Callithrix jacchus: one gene and its partner. The protein of the gene in region 1 interacts with the protein of each later gene in a biochemical or structural test. Links are inferred from orthologs where the notes say so. Each region holds a gene or a part of one and is shown on either strand. Other genes may lie near its edges.

Region 1 (3,907 bases):
TTGTAGAAAGTAATACAAGAAATGGATAGAAAAACATTGTAGGACTGGTAAGCAGTACTGAGGGCCTTTTTAATATGGGCAAAAATGAACTCACCATTTTCTCCCTTCCTGTGTAGCTTTCTCAAGCAGTAGTCACTTTTCAAGGGCAGAGGTGGAGAAAATGCACAGTTGAGTTCATTTAGGGTTGGGATGGTCATTGATAATAATTCCATGGTTCTCAACCAGGGACACTTTTGTCCTCCAGAGGATATTTAGCAATGTCTGTGATAACAGGGAAATGGGGGGTGGATACTACTGGCATCTTGTCCAGTGATGCTGCTAAACATACACACACACACACACATACACACACACACACACAGAGAGAGAGAGAGAGAGAGAGAGAGAGACAGACAGAGAGAGAAAGAGAGACAGGGTCTTGCTCAGACTGGAGGGCAGTGGTGTGATGTTGGCTCACTGCAACCTCTACCTCTGCAGCTCAGATCCTCCCACCTCAGCCTCCCAAGTAGCTGGGAGTACAGGTGTGTACTACCACACCCGGCTAACTTTCATATTTTTTGTAGAGATGAGGTTTCACCATGTCACTTATGCTGGTCTCAAACTCCTGGACTCAAGCGATCTGTCTGCCTTGACCTCCCAAAGTTCTAGGATTACATATGTGAGCTAGTGCTCCCGATCTGCTGCTAAACATCTTATAATGCACATAATACCCTTGACAACAAAAAAGTATATGTTCCAAAAATGTCAGTAATCCCAAAGTTGACAAACACTAAAGTAGCTTACCTTAATAATCACCAATATCTGACTGTGGTCTTCTAAAGGCTTTTCCTTGAACGATGGGCCAGAGTTTACAGGGCAAAATAGTTCTTCCATTGCATGCCTTTGAAGGAGAGTAAAATGAGCAGCATACCATAGCCCTTGAGTGTTTCAAGGACTTGTGATGTCACAAACACAGAACTGGAAGTTTCCTGAACCTCTAGAAGCAAATCTGGATATACATAGAGATGAATGTAACTGCTCACTTTTATTTGAGGCATTGACGGTCTGGTTAAACAGAGATGTTATAATCTCAATAATATAAGAGGAACACTTCACATAATGATCAACCTTAATGTCATTTCCTTTATCTGATTAGTCTCAGTCACTAAAATTACGGCTCTGAGGGAATGGGTATGAGCTAAGTTTAATAATAAATATAGGCGGCTGGGCACAGTGGCTCACATCTGTAATCCCAGGACTTTGGGAGGCCGGGGCGGGCAGATCACTTGAGGTCAGGAATTTGAGACCAGCCTGGCCAACATGGCGAAACCCCATCTCTACTAAAAATACAAAAATTATCTGGACATGGTGGTGTATGTCTGTAATTCCAGCTACTTGAGAGGCTGAGGCAGGAGAACTGCTTGAACCCGGAAGGCAGAGGTTGCAGAGAACCAAGATAGTGCCACTGCACTCCAGCCTGGATGACAGAGTGAGACTTCGTCTCAGTAATAATAATAAATGTAGGCTGGGCGCAGTGGGTGACACCTGTAATCCAGCACTTTGGAAGGCTGTTCACTTGAGCCCAGGAGTTTGAGACTAGCCTGGGCAAGATGGTGAAACCCGTTTCTACCTAAAAAAAAAAAAATTATAAATACCTTAGGCATGAGTAAGAATAAAACCAGTTATAATGGAATGTCTGCTCTGTGATAGGCAGCATTCATGGATAAAACACTTGACCTATGTTATTTAATTTTAGCAACACCCTGTGAGATAACATTGTCTTAATTTTAGGGTTTTTTGTTTGTTTTTTTTTTTTTGAGACCGAGTCATGATCTGTTGCCAGGCTAGAGTGCAGTGACGTCATTTCGGCTCACTGCAACCTCTGCCTCCCGGGTTCAAGCGATTCTTCTGCCTCAGCCTCCTGAGTAGCTGGGACTACAGGCGCCCGCTACCATACCAGGCTATTTTTTTTTTTTTTTTTTTAAGTAGAGAAGGGGTTTCACCATGTTGGCCAAGATGGTCTCCATCTCCTGACCCACCCACCTCGGCCTCCCAAAGTGTTGAGATTACAGGCATGAGCCACCGTGACTGGCCCAACATTATCCTAATTTTAACTCAAGATCTTGAGGTTCCAAGAAAAATTTTAATTTACCCAAAGTCGTAAATTATTAGTAGCTAGTCCGAGATCTGAAACTCGGGCAGGTCTGTCCTAAAAGCTCTTGCACCTCCCATTAAATTTTAGTAAATTTTACAAGGAAGGAGTTATTTCAAATTTTAGCCTGAACAGTTGCCACTGACTAAAGGAAATGGCGGGACACCAAGGAAGGAGCTAGAGGGAGGCCGGGAAAGAACAAGGAGAAATAAAGAAAATGAAAAAGGGACCAGGGAGACTGTTCATAGCGTCCAATGCTGCGGACCGACTCTCCCGCAAGCTGACCTGCCTTTGTTCTTCCTCCATTCTTTTTGAGAAAAACCTCTTCCTGTGTGTCCGTTGTTCACTCTCTTGTGTTCAAATAAAGCTAGATTATTGAGAACGGCTGCAGGCAAAGGAAAAAAAAGAGCGTGACGGCCTCGCTGTGCGCCTGCGCGCTGGCGGCGGCTGTGGCAGGGCCCGGCGGGGAGCGGGTCCGGAGCAGGCTCCCGGACCCAAAACTGAAGGGGGGAGTCTGGGGCGTCAGGGAGCTCCCTCGCCTGTCTCTCGGCGGCCTGATGGAGTAAGAGGGGTTGGCTGTGAATGTGAGTATCGATGGGCCGGCCTGCGTTGAGCGTATTGGAGCCCAAGGGTCCTGGTGGTCTGTCCCTTAGGGAGATTGTGTGGCTGCAAGACGCGGCCCGCTTTCTGCTCCGGCAGGCTGCGGCGCAGGGGTAACCCAGCGGTCCACTCTCCCAGAGCCGGCGCGGGATTACAGGCAGGCGGTGCTGCTGGCTTCGGGGTACGGATTTTCGTGGGGGCGTTCCAGCTCTGCTCCCAGCCCCAGAAGGAAATGTGGCTCCAAAGCCTTGACCTTTAGGGGAAGCCGCTGACCTTCGGTCCTCAGTTGGGCAGGGAGTCCAAAAGACCCTGGTGCTTAAAGCCGGTAGTCTCAGGTCCCGCGACACATTTCAACCTCTCGCGACTGACAACCTTCGTTCCTTTTTCTCCTTTCCTTTCTCTCCGTGTGTGATGTATCTTAATAATGGCAACTAATTATGGAGCGGTTACTGTGTTCATTTAATATTTAGTCAGAATCTCGGTTTATAGTTATGGAGAGGAAACGCTTTACACCCTCCTCCCATTTCAGTTTGTTGTTTAATCATCTTTGAGAGTAAGATTTGTTGAGAAGTTCGAGATTCGCTTTTAGCAACTTGAGACTGCCATTCTAGGTCAGGGAAGTTCTCTTGCTTAGCAAACAAGTGCTGTATCCACCGTAATGGTTTATATCCAGCCTATTCAAACCACAAATAACTTTTGAGTACTTACTAAGAGTTTAGTACTGTTGTAAATCCCATGGGAAACCTTAAAATTTGCTTTAAGGGCCGGGCGCGGTGACTCATGCCTGCGATCTTTGGGAGGCCTAGGCGGGTGGATCACGAGGTCAAGGAGTTCAAGACCAGCCTGACCAAGACGGTGAAACCCCGTCTGTACTAAAAATACAAAAAATTAGCCGGGCTTGGTGGTGGGCGCCTGTAATCCCAGGACTCTGGAGGCTGAGGCAGAGAATCGGTTGAGCCCCAGGAAGCGGAGGTTGCAGTGAGCCGAGACCGCGCCACTGTACTCCCTCCTGGGCGAGAGAGAGGCTCAATCTCAAAAAAAAATTTTTTTTTTTTTTGCTTTAAGGCCCGTTCTCAAGTTTGGTCGTGAATGAAATAAGGGACGACAGTATTCAGATGCAACTAGAATTTATTTAGTATCTACTACACAGTTGCCAATTACATTTACGTGTGTCAT
Region 2 (3,907 bases), on another chromosome or scaffold:
TCGAGCCACTTGTTCCAGCTCGCTCCCCTCTGCGGAGTGTACTTTCACTTCAATAAATCTGTGCTTTCATTGCTTCTTTCATTATGTTTTTGTTGCTTTGTTTGTGTGTTTTGCTCAATTCTTCGTGTGTGACATGCCAAGAACCTGAGCAACTCTCCGTCAAGAGTTTCCATCAGGTAACAGAACCACAGCACACCTAGAACCATGTCCAAAACGTCCTCTTTTTCTGTGTAGCCTGTTCTCAGGTAGATTTCTTAGGGCTGCCTTCTCTCTCTCTCTCTCTCTCTCTCTTTTTTTTTTTTAAAGATGGGGTTTTACCATGACGGCCAGGCTGGTTTTGAACTCCTGACCTCAGGTGATCCACCCACCTTGGCCTCCCAAAATGCTAGGATTACAGGCGTGAGCCACTACGCCCAGCCAGGGCTGCCTTCTCATGAGATCAAAACCACCTCCTCCTGGAGGTAGTAAAGACTTTAACCTTGTTTAAGAAGAAGTTTGGCCTGGCTTTCTCCTCCTGGAAGGCAATCTGTTTGCCTGGGAATCTTCAGCTAGCCAGAGAGTAACAGTGTGATTTGGGGCTTAACGCTAGGCTTTTTAACCCCAGGCTTGGGATTACATGGATATCACTTAACCAAGAGGCTGATATCAACTAGGAAAGCAATCAGTCAATCACACACATGCAATGGAGCCCAGTCAAAGTTCTGCGAGCTGCAGCTAAGTGAGCTTCCCCGGCTGGCAGTGCTTTGTGTGTGGCCACACTTCAGTGCAGGGCAAGTAATGAGGCCTGACTCCACAGGGAGAGGATCACGGGAGGACCTTGAAGCTCCACACTCTAATCCCCAGGCTCCCCCACTGCTCTTCTTCCTGGGCTGATGTTAATCTGTATCATTTCCCTGTAAGAAACCATAGCTGTGAGTACAGTAATTTTTAGTGAATTCTGTGATCCCTTCCAGCAAATTATGGAACTCGAAGGTGGTTTTGGAAATCCCCAGAACTTGCAGTTGGTGTCGGAGGTGACGGTGGCCTCAGGGACTGTTCCTCCAACCTGTGTAGCTCACCTAAGCTCCTGCACCTTCATGACGACCTCTCTGCCAGTTCTTCTCTGTGCCCATGCCCCCATTTTCTTTTCTCTATTATTTATTTGTCTGTGTCTGTATTGCCTGTGTCTCCCGCCCAGAACTGCATCCCAGGGCAGGGCCTGCGGGTGCTCTTCACGTTACCTCCCCCTAATGTTATGCTCCTTAAGCATCATGTGTGTTACATGATCCCTTCTCCTTCATTCACACCCCAGGCTGGACGTGGACCCTAAGAGAAAGTTCGGCATGTGTGTTAACCAAAGCTGCACCCAGCTCATTCCGGGAGCTTTGCTCTTTGTCACTATTCGTTGAATGATCTATATTTTAATAAGTGAAATAATGGGTGTGAAAGCATAAGAGCAGATCAAGAAGGGACAAACAGCACCCGTAGCTCTCCTGCCAGCCTGGGGCTCAGCCGGGCCCCGCCCCTCCCCGCCCAGGCCCCGCCCTCGGCGCCCCGCCTCTCTGCCAGGCCCCGCCCTCGGAGCCCCGCCTCTCTGCCAGGCCCCGCCCCTCGGGGGGGTGCTCCCGCTGGAAAGCGCCGCCGCCTTGTGGGTCCGTGCGGGGCGCGGCGCAGGCCGGGCATGCGCAGAGCGCGCGGGGCGAGGTTGCCGTGGCAGCGCCGGCTCCTGGGAGGGCGGCGGGCGAGGGGCCGGGACAGCGGGGCCTGAGGCGGCGACCCGAGAGCCCGCGGCCCGGCCGGAGGCGGCTCGGAACAGGCTTGAGCGGCGGGGCGGGCGGCCCGGCCGGCGGGGATGAGGGACCGGCTTCCAGACCTGACGGCGGTGAGCCGCGGCCGCGGGTAGCGGTTCAGGCCCGGCCGGGGCGGGCTCTGCAGGGCGGGCGGGGGCTCGGGGCATCCTGGGCGGGGCTCGAGCGTTCTGGGGCGGGGGCTGCGGGCTGGGGTCTCGGGGAGTCCTGAGAGGGGGCTCCGGGCGGGGTCCCCAGGACGGGGTCTCGGGGAGTCCTGAGAGGGGGCTCCGGGCGAGGTCCCCAGGGTGGGGGTCTCGGGAGTCCTGAGAGGGGGCTCCGGGCGGGGTCCCCAGGACGGGGTCTCGGGGAGTCCTGAGAGGGGGCTCCGGGCGAGGTCCCCAGGACGGGGTCTCGGGTGTCCTGAGAGGGGGCTCCGGGCGGGGTCCCCAGGGTGGGGGTCTCGGGAGTCCTGAGAGGGGGCTCCGGGCGGGGTCCCCAGGGTGGGGGTCTCGGGAGTCCTGAGAGGGGGCTCCGGGCGGGGTCCCCAGGACGGGGTCTCGGGGAGTCCTGAGAGGGGGCTCGGGCGGGGTCCCCAGGGTGGGGGTCTCGGGGAGTCCTGAGAGGGGGCTCCGGGCGGGGTCCCCAGGACGGGGTCTTGGGGAGTCCTGAGAGGGGGCTCCGGGCGGGGTCCCCAGGGTGGGGGTCTCGGGAGTCCTGAGAGGGGGCTCCGGGCGGGGTCCCCAGGGTGGGGGTCTCGGGGAGTCCTGAGAGGGGGCTCGGGCGGGGTCCCCAGGACGGGGTCTCGGGGAGTCCTGAGAGGGGGCTCCGGGCGGGGTCCCCAGGACGGGGTCTCGGGGAGTCCTGAGAGGGGGCTCGGGCGGGGTCCCCAGGACGGAGTCTCGGGGAGTCCTGAGAGGGGGCTCCGGGCGGGGTTCCCAGGGTGGGGGTCTCGGGGAGTCCTGAGGGGGCTCCGGGCGGGGTTCCCCGGACGGGGTCTTGGAGCTTCCTGGCGGGGTCCTCCGGGCCGGTTGGGACCAGAGGAGGGGAGGGGAAGGGAGGGTCCCGGCCTTGACCCCGTCTCCAAGAGGGTTCCCTGTCCGTCACTCCACCTGGCGGATTCTATCCGGCGCTTATGCAGCCGGATCCCACCGGCCTAACTGTCGTCCGCCCCTCGGGGTCCCCGCAGCGGCTGTCAGTCCCCGGGGCAGGCCGGGTCCTCTTGCTCGCTGTTTATCCCTTGGGCTTCACGCAGGATCCTGCACCCAGCGGGAGGCAACAGATGGGTGTTAAATGTGAGCGCCTTAAGAGTGCTAGGTGCTTGGGTGGGGCGAGTGCCAACAGCAGCCGGTGTCTGGTCTCCCCAGTAGTTTGCTTTGGGACCTGGACTTGGGTATGTTGACTCTGAACACACCTCGCGCTTCCAGCCAGCCGAGCACACAGGGGACTTGGCGGATGGCACAGCAAATTACTGTTTACTTTAGCAAGGGAAAAGCAGGTCGCTGAAGAATTTGGAAGGATTTTGATGCATTCTCGCGTGTAAAGGTGACAGGACTGTGCATGTGACAGTGAAACTGTAGCGGTGGCCGTGTACTTTCCAGGCTTGTCTTGTCCAGGATGGCTTAGGGCAACGGGAGTAATAACGACTTTCCCTTTACAATGCAGGTGCCGGTTCACGCTGCGTGCGTACACAGGTGCCGCCGCCGGTTCACGCTGCGTGCGTACACAGGTGCCGCCGCCGGTTCACGCTGCGTGCGTACACAGGTGCCGCCGCCGGTTCACGCTGCGTGCGTACACAGGTGCAGTCGCCGGTTCACGCTGCGTGCGTACACAGGTGCAGTCGCCGGTTCACGCTGCGTGCGTACACAGGTGCAGTCGCCGGTTCACGCTGCGTGCGTACACAGGTGCAGTTGCCGGTTCACGCTGCGTGCGTACACAGGTGCCGCCGCCGGTTCACGCTGCGTGCGTACACAGGTGCCGCCGCCGGTTCACGCTGCGTGCGTACACAGGTGCAGTCGCCGGTTCACGCTGCGTGCGTACACAGGTGCAGTCGCCGGTTCACGCTGCGTGCGTACACAGGTGCAGTCGCCGGTTCACGCTGCGTGCGTACACAGGTGCCGCCGCCGGTTCACGCTGCGTGC

The links.
Region 2: the proteins of SNAP23 (region 1) and STX2 form a complex in vitro, tested with the Homo sapiens proteins (2 studies listed by BioGRID). The link is inferred for Callithrix jacchus from reciprocal best matches to the Homo sapiens genes SNAP23 and STX2.

The regions. Positions count from the first base shown.
Region 1 is NC_133509.1:30,176,178-30,180,084, reverse strand, and holds the start of SNAP23 (synaptosomal-associated protein 23), read right to left. Parts: upstream 2,501-3,907; 5' UTR 2,417-2,500; intron 989-2,416; exon of another isoform or gene 881-988; 5' UTR 784-880; intron 262-783; exon of another isoform or gene 136-261; 5' UTR 95-135; intron 1-94. UniProt on the Homo sapiens protein: Essential component of the high affinity receptor for the general membrane fusion machinery and an important regulator of transport vesicle docking and fusion.
Region 2 is NC_133510.1:134,052,271-134,056,177, reverse strand, and holds the start of STX2 (syntaxin-2), read left to right. Parts: upstream 1-1,660; 5' UTR 1,661-1,831; coding exon 1,832-1,861; intron 1,862-3,907.